3 linked regions of the Drosophila melanogaster genome follow. The protein of the gene in region 2 interacts with the protein of the main gene of each other region in a pairwise test. Each region holds a gene or a part of one and is shown on either strand. Other genes may lie near its edges.

Region 1 (6,579 bases), on a different chromosome or scaffold from region 2:
GACCACGCCATCCGCCAGGAACAGCGAGCCGGGGCCTCAGGTGACGACTGGATATCGGATTTCCAAGGAATAGGAGAGTTAATTGGATTTAGCGCCAGCTTTTTGTAGTCCCTCCCCCATGCCCATCTACCGCTCTCTAGTTGTTATTGATGCCCCTAATTAATTGCGTCCGTTCCAGCTCTTGAATTCGCATTAATCCTGAAATCCTCGAGTGAGTTATTGACCTAATCCGAGTGCGTGTGCAACAAGTGCGCGTCATAGCTGTCAAGTGCTGACAGAATTGGGCAATGGTTACGCATTACGTTGACGGATGACAAACCCATAAGAGGGTTTCTCGATGCGAATCGCAGGGCTGTCAGGATTGCAGAAAGTGAAAGTCCATACTGACGTTGCACATGGAATTACAACAGGAATGATTTCGCAACGAATAGTTTGTATGATAAGCAAACATACAAGAAGCAATACTTTGGAAATGATTATACATGCATCATTGATCCGTAGCGAATTGATTCCATTCTATTTACACTTTTTCATTTGAAACTCGACATAATCTGGGCAGAAAATCGTTGGAATGACAGGTCAAAGTGCCGCAGACAGAAGCGATTCGAGTGCAAATTACTGACCTATTATGATGTTATTTACCCCCGTGTGTGGGCAAGTTTATTTTCGCCACGTTGACCTTGGCTCGAATGCAATGGGTCTTTAGCATGCAATGCGCAAATTTGCGCCTGGCGGTATGCAGCGGAAACTTCGCTCTGCCGACGGAAGTTGGCCAATGCCACAAGCCCCAAAAACTTTGCCGCTCGCCAGCTGGCCAAAAGCTGCCTTTGGCATTCCGAGCACGCTCCTGGTATCCACACACACACTCGAGCACTAGGACACCCAGACCCCTCGAGCAATCGCAATTAACGCCTGACACGCGCCCGACAAGTGCAGCATGTCAGCCAGAAACGCTAACAACTTGGCCCAAAAGAAGCGAGCCACCAAGCCGGCCGTCGGCAATATAATAATTGATTTTTCGCACATTCCACTTACCGGGCCTAGGTTGTCGAAGCCGTACTTGTCGGCCACATCATGGGCAAACGAGTTGTCCACTCCGCGCCGGAAGCGCACCAGGAAGGAGCTGGTAAAGACGGCGGGGCCGCTCAGTCCCGCTCCCGAGCCGCCTGCTCCTCCGCCCGCTCCTGCACTGGCCCAGTGGAGGAGCAGGAATGGGGCCAACAGCCAGCTCCATGTGGCTGCTGCCATGGAATTCAGATTGGACGCCTTGGTCCTGCGGGTTCCTCCTGGCCTCTGACTCCTGGCGGCGATGGGGCAACTCTGGCAGCCCGTACAAACAGTTGGTGCGTGGGGCGTCCTTTGGGTGATTTTTTTCCGTTGGCAGGATACCGAAGTGCTGACGAAAATAAAGGACGCGCTCCACTGCACACTCTGCGAATTGGCGACGCGAATTGGGTAGCCAGGATCAAGTTGCTCGGTTGGCAAAATATCCTCTTGTTGTGGTTGCAATTTGTTTTCTTTATTGTGTATTTTTGGCCCCTTCTATGGAGCTTGTTGTGCTTTCCTTCCGCCTGAAATTCTGTTTCTATGTACTTCGTCTGGAGTCTTTGTGCGCTGCCACGAACTTCACTGGGGCGCTGCGCGCTGAGTACTGTTCGCCAGCGGTACCGACGGACGCCATTATGAATGTCCGCCAGGCGCCAAAGCGGTGGCAAAAGCTTCGCCGCCGAAGCTCGCTCGAAAGCTCCGACTAGCAGGCGATAAGCCACCCGCCACTCACTCGACGCACCCCTAGCGGAGATACCGTTGTCTTACCAGCTTCGCCAGTGGCGTGCACAGGAATGTTCCAAGGGGCTACTACTGTTAGGCTTACAAAACTAGAAGTACGCTAGCAAAACTAGAAGTACGCTATCATGGTAAAGTAAGTAATATACATATCACACAGATAAGCTTAATCCCCCATAATCCACCCGACTACGCCCCTGCTCGCCTACTGCTGCTCAGCTGCGTTGGATAAGCTTTTGCTATGGCTTTTCCCACCGACTCAGGCTTTCCATCTCGGTTGGCTTGGCTTCTGCAGCGGCTTTGGCTGCCCGCAGACGTCACCAGTTTGGACGCCCGCTGCCATTAGCCACCCACCATTCCGTGCTAAGTTGTAGCTAGTGTTTTGTCATTGGTTTATGCTGCGCTCCGTAAACATATGGCAGCATACTTGACTTTCGCTGACTTTCGGCTGAATGGCACGATTCGGCTGAATGGAGTCACTTGCTCCTGCGGTTCGAATGGCGAAGGGACTACTGACGACTGGAGGAGGACTATTCATAAACATGGGCGCAATTGCCTCTTACGCGTAATGGCTGCGAAAGGGCTTCAACTTTGACCTTAGCCCAAATAGGTTCATAAAGCCTCGAGCACCCAAGCCTTTAAACTGCAGGCCAAGCGAAAAGTGAAGACAGCTGGGGCAACTTTCGCCGGCTTTTCATGCCGACTTGATTGTTGCCTCCTCCCGAGTTTTAAGTGCGAGATGGGATTCACACACTTTGATTTCATTTGCCATAAATTCTGTTTTCCAGGGAAATCCCTTCTTAGACTCCTCATTGCATTTTAAATTTAATTTTATGAACTCCACATAAATTAACATTGGGTAATGTTTGCTTGATTGGTTGCCGGAAAAATAACTCAAGAGATAAATAAGTTGCAGTTTTTATTTGTTTTTCAATACAACTTATGTAATATAAACGAAAAATAAGAAATACTTTTGTATACACTAAATTATTAAGGCTTGGGTCTTGAATGTTTCATACATATATAAAAAACCAGCACAATGTAAGCATTTACATTAGGCTTAATAATATATTAAACAGGTTTATCAATAGTGGAAAAAAGAAAACGAAATATTCATTGAAACAATCGAAGATGATGAGGAATTGGCGTACTTAGGTAACGTGTAATTAAATACTAATTTTGTTGGGTTTATCAGCTGCTTCTCAAGCAACTCAAAGACGCGAAGAAATCCAACTGACCTATATATAACCATAGTCTGAATATTAAAACAGAAATCCTTCGCCTACATTTCAATTAATTTAAAACGCTGTCGCACTCAACGAGCTTCCTATCCGTGAATGAAAGCTCAACCGGGGGACGTCAATTCACTGCCTGTCGGCGACCAGTCGTATCCACCTGTCCGTCTGCGTCCTGCCACCTGTACTGGTGGTACTGGTGGGCGGCGCGTTCGCGGCCCGATAATGCCGAACATATGGCGAGTCGCATGCGCCGAACGAACGCACAGGCCTTCGATGCGAATATTAAGGGTCCTGCTTTAAATTACAATTAATTTTTAATTAGGCTTAAATTAACATTTTCAAAGACGCTTTGGAGCTGCATTAATCAATTAGCGTACTCGTATACAGAATGCTCAGGCAAGGGGGCACGCAAGTCAAGCGAAACAAAACGAAATATCTTAAACTCTAACTTTGCTCATCACAATTGGTACTCGCTGAAGGGAAGCTGATTGTATTCAGGGGCTGGTTACCTAATCGGGTTTCATTTCCGGCTGCCAAAGAGTTTGCCGCGCGCTGCAGGGAACGAAATGATGAGTTTGCTTTGGTCTAGAAATGTTTGACTTCACTCTGGCACTTACCATGCGATGTGGCTGGGGACAGAGCGTGCGAACTGGCGTGCCGTTTGATGCGCGGAGTATCCCTTAGCTCTGAACCAGATGCGGAGGAGGCACTTGTGCAGGCATTTGAATTGGCCGTCACATTGGTCAGGGTGGACACTCCGCTGCACGAATCCCCTGTGGTTGGCATTGATTTGTAGCGCTGCAGCGAGGTGCGCGGCTTCTTCGGCATTGTGGCCTGCTGCACTGCCTCTTCTAGGGCGTTTAGCCAGTCCTCGCCCTCGCTTTCGTCTTCCAGAAATTTCATGTAGAAGGAGGGTCGCTTTGCCGTGTGGTGCCTAGTGGGTGTGGTGCTTGTGCTTGATTTGGGAGGTTCATGGTGTTCTATTTTCGACTCCAGTTGCTGGGAGGCCTCAAGCAGGAAGAGATCCGTCTCCGAGTCGTTGAGGAAGTCTGCCATTGGATCGGAGGCAGCTACAGGGGAAAGCACTGGCTCTGGCGTAGCCTTCGTGCAGGTTAATCTTGTGCGGGGAGCAACAGGTGACGGAGCTTTAGGAGTTTTTAGTGGCATTACTGGTTCGGACACAGCTATTTGCTCCAACTGGCTATTGAGCCTAGCACAGCGCTCCTTAAGAAGAACATTAGCCCGCATCTGCTGTGCCCGCCACTGCTCATTGTCCAGTTGGCTGCGTCTATCCTCGACGCCCTTAAAGGCTATCTGCCGGCGTCGTTCGCGCTGGCTCAAACTGCCTATTTCCGCGGAGTCGAAGCCACTGTCCGTGGTGGCATTGCTGCTTCGGTTCCAGCGCCAGCCCACCTCCGGACTTTCGGTGGCCAGTGTCTGGGAGAAGAGGCAGCTGGGCGAAAGGCTGATGTCCAAACGGGGCGAGAAGTCCACACTGTCGTCCAAGCTGGGCTTGTGTTTGTGTGGTGGAGTGCTCTCCAGGTCGGACGTGATTCCCACTACTGCTGAGGAGTTGGGCGAGCCGGGAGTGTCCACGGATACACTTACATTGTGCCCTGTGCGTACGCTCTGTGGTGAAGCTATTAACAAAGGATTGTTTTATGGATATTCCTGATTTTTCGAGCTTGGAAATCCTTACCACTGTGGCGCTTATGCAGCAGACGCGTGCTGAGCGTTAAAGATCGCCGTTTAAGTGCGTTCTCCATAACTTTGACTTAACAATAAAGTGAACTGCAGTCAATTATTTAACTAATCAAATTTGTTTTGTTTTGCGCTGCGGAATGCGCTAAAAATTAAAGTAAGCCGACAGTGTTGCCAGATGGCACTGTCAAAACTCACATGGTCACTCTGCTATTCAACTCGTTTTGTTTATAGCCCTTTTCCACTTAAACGCATAGTTTAATAAAAAAATCCACTCTCCAAAATCTATGAAAATATTTTATCTTTAAAATACAATCAATTTAAATTTTCATCTACATATGTTCTTTTATATAATGGCTGACTTGATGATATTTCTGTTACCACCAATGCAAGAAATCAGTTATTTGAGTACTGAGACATCCATTGGCACATAAATCCATATATCGCAATAAGATGAACAATAGGAAATTGTCTTAAAGAAAGTTTAGTGTATAAATAAAATAGTGTATAAATTTACATATAAGTAAACTTACGGAGTAAACGTTATAAAAATAGAGAAATGTACAAATATACAAAATATAATACAAAAAAAAAAAAAAACAAAGATATCTATAATTTTTTTTTGTAACTTTTAGTATTTTATCTATCGGAGTGCAAACATTCTGGTAGGCGGTCATGCTTTGGTATTTGGCAACACTAAACTCCGGTCACACAACAAAATGCTTATGGTGATGTGTTAAAAAGCGAAATTTTGAATACAATTTACTGATCCAGAAAGATGAACTACAATCCAAATCCGGGTATGCGGAACCGTAAGTGGGAGAACTGTAAGGATCAGGCTACGCAAGCAAGTATACCTGAAGGATGTCCGGTGCAGCCACTCCGGAATTTCCCCACCCGCCGCTGACCGGAATCGGAATCCGGAGTGCTGTCACTGTTTACGTTACACGTTACCCCGTTTTGTGCGCCGCTCCTGGCTTCCACTGCATCCTGCTCCCCAGTTTCTATGCCTGCTGTGCGTTTCCGTTCCGTGATGCGTGTGTAGCTTGAGTGCCTGTGTTCCCCGCTTCCCAGTTGTATCGTTTAGATCCTCCGGCACTAACTAATGGTTGCTCTGTCCCAAAATAGCCTCAGCTGCCGGTCGCCCAAGGCCGCCGAAGCGTGTGAGTGATGTTAACGCCATGGGACCCTCGGCTCCGATGATGGGCGGTGGCGCCACCTTCATGGCCCCGCCCACCGGCCCCGGAATACTAGATCCCAATATGTACGGAGCACCTGCTCCGGCCCCGGTCAACAGCTATGGCTTCGACCCCAATCTCGGCCAGCCCTCGCAGCACATTCAGCAGCCACCACAACAGCAGCCCGGATACGGATATGGAGCACCACCTCCCCAACAGGCGGCTGGGCCACCCACCTACGGAATAGGAGCACCTCAGCCTGTAGCTCCACCCACTGGACAGTACCCACAGTTCGCCATGTTCCAGCAGCCCATCGTGCAAGACATGGCTATGCAGTACGGTCAGAAACTAGCGGATCAGGGCAAGCAGATCATGGAGAATCAGTTCGAGAAGTGGGTGCCCGTAGCCAAGCTCAAGTACTACTTCGCAGTGGACAACGCCTACGTGGGCAGGAAGTTGCGCCTTCTGTTTTTCCCCTATATGCATAAGGTGAGAGTGGTGAAGCACAAACGGAGAAACCATATAAATTACATACTCCTTTCAGGATTGGTCCCTGCGCTACGACCAAGAGCACCCAGTGCAACCACGATATGATGTTAATGCGCCAGATCTCTATCTGCCCACCATGGGCTACATCACATACGTGATCGTAGCGGGTTTGCTTCTGGGCATGCAGA
Region 2 (8,637 bases):
CTTTGGTAAAGAAACCCGAAAATGAAAGCGAAGCCGAAACAAGAATATACAAAACGCACTATAGCCATAAGCCTAAGGTTTACTTTATATGATATTTCTTAACCGGAGCTCCCGAGCGATAAGCTCGGGATGAAGATGTTATACAACTTTGTTTAATTTAAGATACGTACTCATATATACGATACTTGCAATACTGCATAACGTTTGAAAGTTTGATAAAACTTAAATATATTGTATAAGCATTAGACTATTTATTCAAAGCCAATGACGAGGATTAGTTTTCTTTATATTTCACCGAATTGACGAAGATTTTTATAACCTAACGACTACCGATATTTATTTAGCCAAACAATGAAGTACAATTTTATTTGATTGAGTTTTTCGTTCAAACTATAAATCTTCTTGTATAATTCCCTAACGATTTTTATGATGAAGTGCTTGGCATGCCTAAGTTAAGCTTTTTTTACATGAAACCAAGTTTCGGACTAAAATCTATGAGCATAGTTATAAATGTAAGGACACGTATTCTCTTTAATTACGATTACTTTGAATTGTACATTAATCTATCTGATTGTAACTTTTCCACAACCAAAAAATTCTGGCACAACTGCATATGATTCTTTCGATTCGTTGTCGGGCTACGTTTTGTGAATCGTTTATAATGCGGATCTATATACAAACATATATATTTCTTTAAAAATAATGTATTCTATATGTAGACGAAAGCATTACACCAAAACATTATATTGATAAAAAATGTTTGAGGACTCTACCACATTGTTTTCTGGAGAGAAAGAACTTTATTACGGTGTAAAATGTTCATTGTATTCATAAATAAACGTGAAGTTGTTGAATATGAAGTATGATTTGGAAGTGAACTAATAAAAATTAAAAAAAAAACACTTGGCTGGGGTTAGGAAGGTCTCTTTATTGTTGCATAAGCATCAGTTCTCAAATATTGTTGAATCCTGACATGTTCCGAATTCTTGTAATCCTGGATCGCAATATTGGCCATTTTCTTATTCATAACTGACGTATTAGCCAGATTTTCGTCATTGATGGAACGGATAGAACTCGACAACATTTTTACATTGTATTGAGCCGGAAAGTATGCTTCTGTTTTGGTTTTCATACTTGGCTCTCTCAAAATATGCATAATTCAAAGTAAAGCTTTCTTTCTTTCCACTTTCTCATGCTCTGGCTAGTTTACCGGGCTTACAAGCAGCCAGAGGTTCAACGTCTGCAGCGACTTGGTCGACAACTCAGTTCAGTTGGTGCACTTGACGCGTCTGGTTCTGCTTCCCACCACTGCGGATTAAGCCAAGCCTGACGAAGGCCAAGTCCAAGAACCTTCTACAAGAAGCAAACGAGCGGAGATGGATTATCGTCTAGTGCTGGTATGTCATCATTACGGGTGTGCTAACTGCACACTTTTTCTATGGCTCGCTGGTCAAGTTCGTTGCCCAAGTCTTTTGTTTTGCAATGCGTTAACATTGGCGAGCTAACCGCTTACGTTTACTGTTACTCAGTCCCTGGGAACCGCCCGATTCTGGAGCATGCTAATGAATTAAGCTAACCAAAGAGCAGCGTACGTTCCGATCCGTTCTGCCCCTTCTTCTAGTTCGGTCTTCTAACTACTGGCTTTTGGCCGGGTGCCGAGCAACTTTCCCGTTAGGCGTGTGGCACGCATATTGGGAACAGAGCGCCAACAAGTTCTTTCCTGACCAGATCAAATCAGCCTGTCTTGGCCCCGAAAGGCGGTTAGGTCTTCATTCTGCAATTGAGCTACCAATATTTACCTATGCAAATTGTGCTCTTTCCATTTGGGAGCTCTCTCGCAGGGCAAACAAGTTTCTGCCTCATTAGAAGGGAAAAAACAAAAGAACGAGCTTAGCGGCTGACCCGATTTTGGATTCCCCGACGCCGCATTCAAATTACGCTGTGAACCGTGTCACAAAGAGAGAAATTCCACAGCTTCTTGGCACTGCAGCCGCCCACCGATCTGTACCACTTGACCTGGATTACTCGGGTCTGTCCGTGGAACTTTTGGTTTCATTGAGATGCCACTGCCCAGAACTTCAGGGAAAGTTCCCTCGAACAATTAATGGTCAAGTGAGCACAGCGGAGAGATGCTGAAGTGGCGTCTCGATCGCAGTTGCTGCCTCGGTTTGTTTATCTTCACAAAAACAGAAACAGAAACTTTCGCGCTTTCGCCAAACAACAAAACATCGAAAAGTGTATGTATGGCCGGGTAAAAGATCTCGATTCTTTTTCCGGACAATATTGGGCCATTCACCGACTCTTCTGGGCAATTAACTCGACTCCAGACGGCTACGGCCACTGATTGTACCTCCACTGTGACTATCTTTTGTTTTGTAGAAAATTCTCAGCTTTCTGCTGCTGGCCCAATTGGGTTTCTCCCAGCCGCAGCAGCAGTCGCCATCTGACTACGGTGAGGAGCAGCCTCCGGAGGGTTATTACGCCTTCGTCGAGTCCCCGAATGCGGTGCCTCCCAAGGTCAGGCCGCCACCTTACACCTTTGTAAATGCGGAGTGCAAGGACGTGGCCGCCGGCAAGAAGTCTGCCGTGTCCGTTCACAACATTTGCGGAGATCTAAACAAGGGTCAGATACCCAAGAATCCGCTGGGACAAAATGTACTCGGGGAGCCCTATCCCTTGTAGGTGAAAATATTTGCGTAACAAATTTCAGACATCTCTAATGTACACCTCCTCCACAGCGAACTTATTCGCAACCAAACGCTGAAGTTCCTTTCGAAAACTTTGCCCGTTCTAAAGGCCGACGATACCCTACCCAAGGTCACCCAGATCATTCGAGATGAACCCGTGGAACAGCTGGACAGCAACAACATCGACAGGCCCTATCCCGCAGGAGGTTCCACTCGCGTCCGCCGCAGCCTGCCGGAGGGCGTGGAGTCCAACGAGTACAGCTACTTCGATCCCGCCCTGGACGAGGAGGAGCAACACAAGCAAAGGGATCGGAATAACCAGCAGAGAAGGGCCGCCGAGGAGAGGAAGCCAAGGAAATTCTGCGATGGCGGTGGAGTGTAAGTTTTTAGCATGGAAACGGGGGAGTAGAGTTATTCCAATCTTAACTGCTACATAAATGAAAGATAAATATATCGTATTTCTTAAAGCACGGGAAAGGCGCGCATATAAAGCTAAAGAGGTCACCACTTAAAAATTATGAGTCATCTTTATAAAATTATAGATTCGAAGAATTATCAAGGCAAAGAACCCAAATGAGCTTGTCATTTCACTTTCCACATCATAATGTAAAGCCATACAACTAAAGAAGCTCAACACTTTAATCGACATCCATAGATATTGTAGAATAGGTTAAGAGAGGAGTACATCATGGGGTATTCAACTGCTTAGCATTTTGACGACACAACTGCGTGCAGGTCAATTAATAAAAGATTTTTAAACTTTTAACTCCACCCACAGATTTTGCACCTTATACAGGGCAATTCAGGGAGACACCGGAGGAGCAGCCCCTGCCACGCCCACTGCGGAAAGGCGCGAGGAGGTGGGTCCCATCCGGTACGAGGGTCCTCCCACTCCCTGTCCCGCCAAGGTAGAGTACGCTACTCCCGTCTTCGCTAAGAACTACCAAGGCGCCTGGCGTTATGTGGTCCAGATTCCCTATGAGGGCTACTTCACCCAGACGGTGGAGGTGACGCGTTGCATTCAGGCACGCTGTCACTACCTGGACGGCGGTTGCTTGTCGTCACCACGCTGGGTAAGCCTGTTGGTGGCGGAGATCTTCTACCCCAATGCGGAGGACACAGTGCCCACCAGCTCGACCACCACTCAGGCCCCTTCTGTGCAGGATTTCCAGGCCTACCAGCAGTACCTGCAGAAGAGGGCAGGCGTGGCTACCGCCTCCGACGGAACCTCGTCTGGAGCAGCCGGCCCCGCGGCGCAGGTGGACGCCCACTGCGATGGACACGATGAACTGGGCTGCTTCCAGGTGCGTCTCTACTACGACTGGTTCCTCATCCCCGGCTCTTGCAAGTGCTGGCGCCCGGACTACTTCGCCAAGTACGTGCGCCGGAAGTCGGTGGCCGAGTTGTGAACACTTCCTGGACAGGATTTTCGAAGGAAATCCTTAGAATAAGACTAAGTTCTAGCCTTTAGAGGAACACAACTTTGAGGTGAAAGGCTCATTCTAGTAATCCACCCGGGTGCCCCACAGCCCTATACGGATCACGCAGAGTTTGCAGTTCGTGCATCTACCAGATACAATCTTAACCTAGGCGGTTAGCTCCCTCTTTCGACTGATTAAGCCAAGAGCAGTGCATTTCTACTAATAAATACGTTTCTACCTAATCATAAGAGAGCCTCTCTATTCGGCACTTTGCTGAGACTGCGATGTGGTATTGGCCTAGCCTGTGTGTGTTAGCCTCCTGGAACTCTCTCAGCTGCGCTTGTGTTGGAAGATCCACCGAAAACCCACAGAAACCAGTCGCGCAAGTTGCGCATGCGTGCGAGACTCGGGCCCAAAACCTCGGCCGCTGATCTAGTGTGCAGTCAATATAACCAGTTGGTTGGCTTTGGGTGTTTTGGCCGGGGATCCAAGCGACCGAGCTGCATTACATACACAGAATAGTTGCAGAGTTTGCGCAGAAGCCTTGACGAACGGCCTCAAAAGGCTGCCAGACGAGCCGCGGACTCGGATTTCAGGAGCCAATTTTCCGCATAGCTTGGGTAAGTCAGCCAAATGGAGGGCCGTCTCTTTGTTTATAAACAAAATAAGCAACCAAAGTGGACTAAGGTACAGATGCAGCTGCGATAATAACATTGAGTAAACTTGGTACTTGAAGGCAAGAAACTAACAAAATCATTCATTTGCACGTCTCAGTTGAGCCCATTTAAATAAAATTGTAGAGTTTGAAATCAAGTAATTTTGTGTGGCGACTAGACGATTTTATAAAAATAAATTTGTTAAAACTGCTTGTAAATAAGTGGGAAATATCTTAGCTCAGAGATTCAGTCCTAAGGCAGCGTGCCAGATTCACACACATTCCATTTGGAGTTACCCATGCAAATGAGCTCCTATTAATATAAGTTATGCATTGGTGCCAAGCGTGGGACTATACGATTCATAATCTCATCCCACTTTCCATTTTGCGCCATCCGCAGACGAAGATGCTCCGCCAGAACAAGAATACCAGTACCAGTCTGCTGAACCTAAGCATAGGCGATGTGGGAGGCAGCCATCCACAGGGGCAGTCGCAATTTTGGGAACTGGATACGCTGCCTAAGCAGTTCGTCCTGTCCATGAAAAAGCTCTTCGACATCTTAGATGACAAGCAGACCGGATACGTGCGCTTCACGGACATCGAGAAGGGCTGGCAGGATGATGGCTCCAAGGGACTGCCACGCGGAGTTGTGGACTCACTCCGTCGGGTCACTCCCAGTAGCGGACTTCTCTCCTTCGAGCGGTTCTGCGCCGGCCTCAAGCTGTGCCTGCTCCGCAATCAGCAAAACGCTGTGGAAGACCTGAAGTTGCGGCCTCGTTCCCACGGAACTCTTGCTCCGGAGATGGAGTTCCATTCTCCTGCTCCGCCGCCAAAACCTCCACGACAGGTACCCAAGTCCCCTGCTCTGGGTAAAGACGACATTCGCCATGCCCTCCAAAACTGGCAACTGAACCTGATGGCGGACGCAGGAAAGTCAAAAACGACGCAGTCGCGGGAACAATTCGAACACCGTGGATCGGCTGACGGTGGCTCTTCCTCCACCTCTGCTTCGGCCACCGACTGGAGCCTGGCCCTTCCGGCTGTGCCCAAGAAGACCAGCAGCAAGCGCAGAGAGTCGCGGAGGCACACTCTGCAACACGGCATCGATTACAACATGCTAAAAAGACTGAAGCAATTGGAGGAGCAGCGGGAACTGCTTCTTTTCGGACTCGATGGCGTGGAGAAGGCACGCGATTGGTATATGATGCAGGTGCTCAATGTACAGGAGCAGATAAAGTATTTCGGCCGTTTAGGAACCCGATTTGTAAGTAGTCCTCTAGCTTGTAATTAATAGTTACCCCTTTCCTGATTTTCGCACAGGATCAGTGGTCTGAACTGCAGCAAGAAAGGCTAAACTTTCAACGCGCCCGCGTTTTTGAGGCCAATCGCAGCCTCCAGATTCTGGCCGACACCTGGGAGCACGGCGGCTACCCACTGCACATTAATTTGGCTGTGCCGACACCCACCGTCCCAAAACCGAGGCAGATGTCCGATCTGCTCAGTCGGGTTCGCGAGAAGCCGCCGCTTCTGTCAGACTTGTACGAGGCGCAGCACTCTCATTCCCATCCGCAGTTCCTGCGTGCCATGCCCAACTTCGTGCTCAGCCAGCCCTCGCCGGTCAGCCAATCCTCGGCCGGGCTGGGAGACGCCGACGTGGTCTACTGACGAATCAATGCTGCTGCGTACATTGTAAATAGTGTATTATTAAACAACTTGAACTATGTAAAGCTATACGGGATTGGGGTAGCGGCGCATGTACTTGTTAAGTTGCTTGTAGTTCAGGTTGCTGCCCGGTTGGACGATTCCCTGGTTCACGGTCTTCTTCGCCTCAAACTTACGGTCCATGTAGCACTTGTAGCAGTTCTGGAACTGGCTGATCTCCTTGTGGCAGTACTTCTCCACGAATTCGTTGTCTTTCAAGCAGGCGAACAGCACGCCCATCTCCTGGAGACAGGCCACATCGGATCCGGAGTCCGCCTTCCCGCTCACGGTGTTCTTCAGCCGCAGAGGCAGAATCTCCTGGAAGGGCACGTCCTTCTCGCTTTGAGGCGCTCGGCCGCGCGCGGCAAACAGGGCTCCGGGTACGCGCATCTGAAACCCCTTGGCTCTGTGAGTCCGGTCATTTCAGTCAAAAAATACGATTTTACCCACCTCGTAATTTCCACCGACTCCTGGACAACTGAACAGCTGCTTCAGATTACGTCACGAACTGGTTCCTGCTTTTGGTGGTGATTGCCAGTACGTCTGCAGCCCTGGTATTTCGTTTAACATAAGCATACGGTCACACTTAGAGTCTCCGTGGAACAAAAGGTAAATAATCAACCTGCGGGCACGCCAGGAGATTCTTCAAGGATCACCGAAGACCACGCGCACATGGAAGCCGCCGAGCAGCTCGACGAGGCGGCAGCACCAGCCGCCCTTTGCGCGCCTTCGCGTGCAGCCTACGCGGCCGCCGAGCAGGAAGATCCAGACCCAGACCAGGAGCAGGACCGAGGCCGGGAATCGCCCATTGGTTCGTTGGAGTGCGCCCCCACCCTGAGCAGTCGCAAGCGGCAGCTGAGTCGCTTTCATCCATACCACGGGTCCAATATCCAGTTGGGCGACGACGCCACAGTGGCCTACCGGAGAGCTAGTTTTGCCGACGCCCTGACATTCTCGGAGCGTCCGCTGGCCCCTGGGGACATCTTCTTGGTGGAGATCGAAAAGATAGAGCGCGGCTGGTCGGGCCATATGCGTCTTGGTCTCACCGAACTAGCGCCCAATGTGATTCGCACCAGCAGCGAGGGAAAAAAGGCGCCTCAGGAGAATCTGGTTTTTCTCGCGCAACCCAAGGGACAAGGCAGCACTCAACAGAGCCATCAAGGAACTCAAGGACAAGCTGTGTACCCTACGGCAAGACTCCTTCGACAGATTCCTTGAGGAGCTGGAACCTGGTGACCCGCAACATAATCTGTGGCAAGTCACGCGTCATATCAGGAGGCCTGCAAAGAAGGCGTCGCCGGTGCGAAAAGCGGACGGCTCTTGGTGCCGCTCTGAAGCCGAAAGAGCTGAAGCGTTTGCAGATCACCTCCAGAATGCATTCACACCATTTGACAGATGCACTGGCGAAGAGCGTGCTGCAACCACCAGGTTCCTAGAGAGTCCATGTCCTCCTAGCCTGCCCATAGAGCCCGTCACCCCAGAAGAGGTTGCGCAAGAGATCGCCTCCCTAAAGGCTAGCAAATCCCCAGGACTGGATCGCATCGACGCCACATCCCTTAAAATGCTGCCACCGCCCTGTTCCCAGTTGTTGGCCAACATATACAACAGATGCTTCTCACTAGGGTACTTCCCGAGATCATGGAAACGTGCAGAAGTCATTCTCACCCTCAAACCTGGAAAACCTGAAGCCAATCTTGCCTCATATAGACCGATTAGTCTGCTGACAATCCTCTCCAAAATACTCGAAAGAGTATTTCTGCGCAGAGTCATGCCAGTACTGGACGAGGCTGGACTGATCCCTGATCACCAGTTTGGCTTCAGGCGATCCCACGGAACACCAGAGCAATGTCACCGGCTCGTAGCACGCATCCTAGATGCATTCGAGAATAAACGATACTGTTCGGCCGTATTCCTGGATGTCAAGCAGGCGTTCGACAGAGTGTGGCATCCTGGACTCCTCTACAAACTCAAGTCCCACCTTCCCAGTTCCCACTATGCCCTACTCAAATCGTATACTGAAGGAAGAGAGTTCCAAGTGCGATGCGGTTCCTCAACAAGCACGACAAGGCCTATACGAGCCGGAGTACCTCAAGGCAGCGTCCTTGGTCCCATCCTCTACACCCTGTTTACAGCAGACCTCCCTATCATACCCTCCCGTTACCTCACAGCAGCC
Region 3 (5,688 bases), about 19 Mb from region 2:
TAAACTTTCACAGCTTTCACAGTCCCAGAAGCAGTCGACGATCAAGACTTGATAGAAAAGTAAGATTAATGTTAGAATTAATAAATAAAATCATTTATGTTTATTAAAACAAGAAAGAATGTTTGAGTGACTGTTGACTGTTGGGAATATAAAACCTTCATAGTCGCCTGGAACGACACCGACGAATTTATAATGGGTGATGTCCGTAAGATATTCCGCGCATCTGTTGATTGCATCTGGTTTAGCAGACCATTTTTGAAATGACAATAAGTCCTTACAAGAATGGCATAGCCACCCTTCACCAATCATTTACTAATTTGGACTTCTTCGAGTAGATAGTCGGCTGACGAACTGTCGTAACGTGTAACGAAATAAATTGATGGAAGGAATTCGGTTCTAGCTCGTTGGCGAGGAGTTTGGTGGTCTTGCTTGTACAGATACCTTTTCGCTACGGACATTAATGAATAAGATCGATAATTATTATATTCGAAAGAAAGCTTGAGACAACTGTTACTGGCGAAACACCGGTGTAATTGTGTTTGCGGATTGCCCTACCCTACCTATGACCACTTTCCTTAATAGCAAGGCTCTAGTGGCCTCTTATGTGCCCTATTTCCGGAGAAACATCAGCCGAGTTCAGTATTTAAATTTTAAGAGGTTAATTTCTGTATTCATTTTGGTGACTAAAAATTATTAACAATATTTACACTGGCACCGACTTCTGTGGCTCCTGCACAGACACTTCAATTTCTGACTGGATTCTAGTTATATCCGTTACTCGTAGAGTAAAAGAGTATACTAGATATGTTTAAAAGTACGTAACAGGCACAAGGAAGCGTTTTCTATCACATAAAATATATATGTTCTTGATTATAATCAATAGCCGAGACGATGTGACCCTCTCCCTCTGTCCGTCCGTCCGTCAAGATATGACGCATAGCAAGTTTGTTGACCTGTGTTGCCACTCTACCGCACAAATATGTTATAATATTTTTTCATATCTTTAAAGTAATTCAGTACTCATCGTCCAACGGGAAAATTCCATAAGTCATTGCGGACCCTTCTTTTCTCCTTTGCAAACCCAAATTTATGGATCTTCGCTTGGCCTATCCTATTTCTGGAAGATTTAAAAAGGCTTTTTTTATTATATCGTCTACATAGGGAGATTAACAAAACCATTACTTGAAATAAAATTAAAACTTAACTAACACTAAAAAAAATTGTGGGCCTCTAATAACTATACTGAGCGGGGCTCGGATAGAAATCCGGGTTAAGTTCCTGGCCATATGGCTTGGATGAAAAGTGATTTTGATTTACACTTTTAGTTGATTTGTATTAAAAATATGTCTCATCCCAAACTTTACGCAAAATGAGCTCATATAAACCAACCAAATCAAATATTGAAGTCAAAAGGTTTGGGATAGTTTAGAGATAGAGAGCTTGGTTAAAAAGAAGATTTACAGTTTACTGCTCACGAACGAATAAGTAAGCCGAATAAGATAAGGTGAATCTCTTTCATTAGTGGATTTTAATGACCAACCAATTTATTAACTGTCTGGCAGTTCAATATATAACCAAACGTATGCTCGAAATGTCCACATATGTATGCTCATTTTGCTTTTGTTTGTTTTCAAATTTAAAACCTAATCATTGCGTAAGTCTATTGAAGTGAAATAAACTAAATTTAAATGTTTTTATAAATATTTATGCAATGGAGCCAAGAAAGTCTTACTTTTAAATTACCTAATGTTTTCGAGTATCATATGTAGTAAATAATAAATGAAAATGATATCGAACGGAAGACGAACAAGTGTAGAATTATTACAGGAATTAGAACGGTTAGGTATAGAATGAAAAAATATCAATATTAATCAATAGATCAGTAATAAAATCAAATTATGTTTAAGTAGAAACACCAATTTAAACTACATGCTGATCCAAGAACTTCCGTACCCCAATTGGATAAAAGCGGCCAAATGCATAATTAATTTGGAATCGCGTGGACCATGGCAGGGTGAGCAACTATCACCCCCCAATGACATTGTGGGTTGTGCATTGAGAGAAACTCCCTATCTATCATTTTCCATAGCTATCATTTAAATTCACATAGATATGAATGAGCACCCAAATGCTGTAACCTCAAAAGAACACCACGACACTCGCTGACGAGATAGAGCCGGATTGAAATGCGTGCTTTCTTGATATCCCCTATCAACGTCCAAAGTATTACCACTATTGAAATATAGCTAGTCTCCGAATTAAATTCAGTATAAAACTGCGCTCCACCCATAACCTTTATTCAAGGCTATCTGCTGTTCCTTGTGTTACGATTTTGATAAAGCCGTACGTACTCACAAAAATATGCGACATGAAGAAATAGTTATTTTAGATGGGAACACTTAGCTAATCCTACCTATCCTGAGTCTAAAAAAAAATATCCGAAATACAATTTCACTAGAAAGGAGTAGAGAGTAGTTTGGATTACTGGAGGTCAGTCTTCTGGACCCAGGGAGATCATATTATTTTGCACCCAGCCGGGGCGATGATTCGGTAGACTACGCCTTCGAAGTTCTTCTTTGTATGGACTAAAAACAACAGAAGTCCGATGATTTAAGCATTGTTGGAGTTTAATTCAGCGGAGTCGGCATAGCACTATACCTTAACATATGTAATTAACACACACGATCTACAAGCAACAATTGGATAATTTATTGATTTAACCGTACATAAAGATTAATTAGAATGTTGATGTAGTAAATTAACATATTTCAAGTATTAAACTTCATAACATCTTGATGTGCACCTTTCGATGTTTTATTTTCCTTAAATAGTGGTGACGTTACTATTTCTCCCGTTTTTGTTTACTAAAAAATAAACAATGTACACATAGCATTAATAATTAAGTCAATGTAGATTTAATTTAAATCATAAATATTTAATTTTCAACTGCTTGTTTTTAAAAGAACATTGTCGGTTAAAAACGTGTTGGTATAAAATATTACTTTCTAGCCATAGCAATGCCAAGTCCTAATATTCCGCCAAGTACTAAAGCTGCTCCGCCTGCAACCACCATACCCTTTGCCACTTCCTTATCGATTTCTTTTTTAATATATTCCTGAAATATGTAAAGTTATTTAGTAATTATTCGTACATTGAATTTTAGTGTATGTACATTAGTGAGGATCACATGAATATGTTTTTCATTATTATATATGTACATTTAACACGACACATCTTTTGTGATCATGGGATTTTGGTTGTCATAAAAATTTTCTGGATCAAAAAATTATTTGAATCTATTGGAGATTATATAGAAATTGCTGCTTTCCTTAGTGACCTTACTAACCTCTAGGGAGCGAACTTGATCATTTGACTCGATGTCAAGAAAAGCTCGGCAGTATTTTAAGCCAGACGTATACTCCTTGATACGAGCATTACCAAACGCAAGATAATATATATAGTCACGCCTTCCATCTGGATGCGTACGAGCCAGTTCCTCCAAAATCATAATTCCCTGGATTATAAATAAAATAATATTTTTACATCTTTACAGCTTTAAAAGTGAGTCACCTTTCTAACGTCATTTGTGTACCGACTTCGGACCAGACAGAATGCGTACCTATTGTGTCATTAGAATTGAGAAGAATTGAGATATTTTAATGTTTTTAGATTTAGGAATGCGTACTCAAACTTTGTGTCTGTGGTAACTTCACCATCCAACTCAAGTTCGTGATGATACTTTTTTTCGAATCTCTGGAGCAAATGCAAAATATTTATTTTATAACAATCAGAACTAAAATAATATTTTTTACTTCTAAATCTTCTTGTGGTACAACTTCGTTTAAAAGATCCTCCATTGTTTGGCAAATGTTGTTAGCAAATACAAAAATTATATACAGAGAATTTAACGCCAAGAGTAGCCGTTCATTCTAAAAATATAGGATTAGTCGTACCGTTTATATACAATTCTCAGAGAACGACTTCCTTCACATTTTTAGTGTTCCTTCTTATATTCGATTGCCACTGAGACTATTTAATAAGGGGTACTCCGTTAATAGCATGTGTTCTTAATTAAGCCAAATAAAATTCAGCTTTGGAGTTTCAAAAATTTTAGCGAATTCACGGAAGTATTTGATTTTAACTACTTTAGTTTGATTTTATAAAATTTTTGATGTTATAATTATTAATTGTGATCAGAGAAAAATGCATTTACAAAAAAATGTTAACTTCTTTGGCTCCTCAATACCGACTCGGTTATTGATCCTCAATAAAGTGTTAGGAAAAGTTTTGTGTTACCTGTTTTATTCATTTAACGGGTATAACAACGAATTGTTGATTTCTTTTTAATTCATTTCAATTGAACCTGATCCAGACTTTTCAACGAATCTACTTTAACATTTTACTCTTCGAGTAATGTGTGTAATTTAGTATTCAAATTCCTGTATTTTGTGAATAGATAAGGTGTAAGTCCGTTTTTTATGTATCTCGGTTCCATCAATTCAGAGTTTCTTAAAAAAGTTTGTTTATAAAAATAGTTGTTATGAAATAATATTTATCATGTTCTCGATGTGCGCTTTATAAAATATGAAGATAAATGCAATGAAGACACTGCTGGTCGGAATCTCTTATTAATATACCCCTAAAAGAGTTTAGAATGAAAAGCTTTTTTGAAAATAAATACCCATCATTAACTTTAATGGCCACTGAATTTCGTATTTCCTACCTACCTTCAAAAGATCGCTCGATTTTAGAGCTGGCCTCCTATAATTTGACAGCAATTTTGCTAACGCATCAGTATAATTACGATGAGGATCCGGTTCATTCTTTATTTGTTGAACGATGGGGCTCGCGTACGTGACGGCATTTCTTCGCGGGACGGTGCGGGGAGGCAAGAGATGGGTTGTGCTAGTCCCACGAAGTTGAACAGGCAATGATATTGCAGAATTACTGTTCGAAAATCAATGAATATGCTAGCGGTTCAATATATAGCTGACGCATGCAAAGAGCAAAATACAATCGAGTGATACACAAAAACCCAAGCTGGCCACCAGCTTGGTCCTCACCAAGGGCCAGTATAAAGTATCTTAATTTACACCCAAGAAAGTGTCGCGCAATTGCTTCTCGGCAGTTTTTGTTGACATGTCCCATGACGTGAACACAATTTTTATTTCTATTGCTTTTGACTTTTATGCACATGCCCACTCATAATCCTAGAGACATTTGTCATTGATGGTCCGGTCCGGCGAATCTATTGTTGTTGATTGTTGAGCCCGGCTCTATTCACACTTTCTTTCGAACCGAGTCGGCCAGACTAGACCGTCGTATTATTGTGATTTACTTGAGCCGCTTTATCGCCGTAATCACAACAAAGTTGTGCGACAAATACAGATATGGGGACCAACAATAAGAGCGAGAGTTGCGGATGGCAGGCAGCTGCTTGGCTCCTAACCAACTTGAAAGTGACTAATCGGAGCTTAATGTCATTCCGGGACCCTGACCGGAAGACGACGGTTCGCCGTCGATTCGTTAAGGGCAACTAATTGTTGCGACGTGTTTACACACACGCTGTGTCAGCACGGGGTTGTTTTTGCAGCGGGTGCTACCAAGAGACTGCTACCAGGCGGTTGCCCCGTTCGCCATAAATGATCCTGTAATTTTCGTTGGGCGCGTGCTCGCGATTGTTCTTTA

The links. The genes of interacting proteins can lie anywhere in the genome.
Region 1: the proteins of CG3880 (region 2) and CG6425 interact in a two-hybrid assay, tested with the Drosophila melanogaster proteins (one large-scale study listed by BioGRID).
Region 3: the proteins of CG3880 (region 2) and Fis1 interact in a two-hybrid assay, tested with the Drosophila melanogaster proteins (one large-scale study listed by BioGRID).

What each region holds. Positions count from the first base shown.
Region 1 is NT_033777.3:26,712,476-26,719,054, forward strand, and holds CG6425 (uncharacterized protein), read right to left. Parts: upstream 4,915-6,579; 5' UTR 4,790-4,914; coding exon 4,723-4,789; intron 4,664-4,722; coding exon 3,641-4,663; intron 3,576-3,640; coding exon 3,544-3,575; 3' UTR 2,690-3,543; downstream 1-2,689. Other genes in the region: amon (amontillado), read right to left, coding at 1,036-1,248; Yif1 (Yip1-interacting factor 1), read left to right, coding at 5,503-5,551, 5,853-6,391, 6,447-6,579.
Region 2 is NT_033778.4:24,756,119-24,764,755, forward strand, and holds CG3880 (uncharacterized protein), read left to right. Parts: upstream 1-4,545; 5' UTR 4,546-4,728; intron 4,729-5,163; 5' UTR 5,164-5,169; coding exon 5,170-6,027; intron 6,028-6,083; coding exon 6,084-6,428; 3' UTR 6,429-6,487; downstream 6,488-8,637. Other genes in the region: spz6 (spatzle 6), read left to right, coding at 1,377-1,397, 2,380-2,678, 2,739-3,065, 3,466-4,096; CG12848 (uncharacterized protein), read right to left, coding at 6,492-6,854; CG3894 (uncharacterized protein), read left to right, coding at 7,137-7,547.
Region 3 is NT_033778.4:5,600,898-5,606,585, forward strand, and holds Fis1 (Fission, mitochondrial 1), read right to left. Parts: upstream 3,938-5,688; 5' UTR 3,858-3,937; coding exon 3,813-3,857; exon of another isoform or gene 3,754-3,812; coding exon 3,686-3,753; exon of another isoform or gene 3,620-3,685; coding exon 3,571-3,619; intron 3,515-3,570; coding exon 3,347-3,514; intron 3,116-3,346; coding exon 3,003-3,115; coding exon of another isoform or gene 2,999-3,002; exon of another isoform or gene 2,898-2,998; intron 2,865-2,897; coding exon 2,843-2,864; 3' UTR 2,690-2,842; downstream 1-2,689. UniProt on the Drosophila melanogaster protein: Involved in the fragmentation of the mitochondrial network and its perinuclear clustering. Functions downstream of Pink1 and upstream of Drp1 to regulate mitochondrial fission.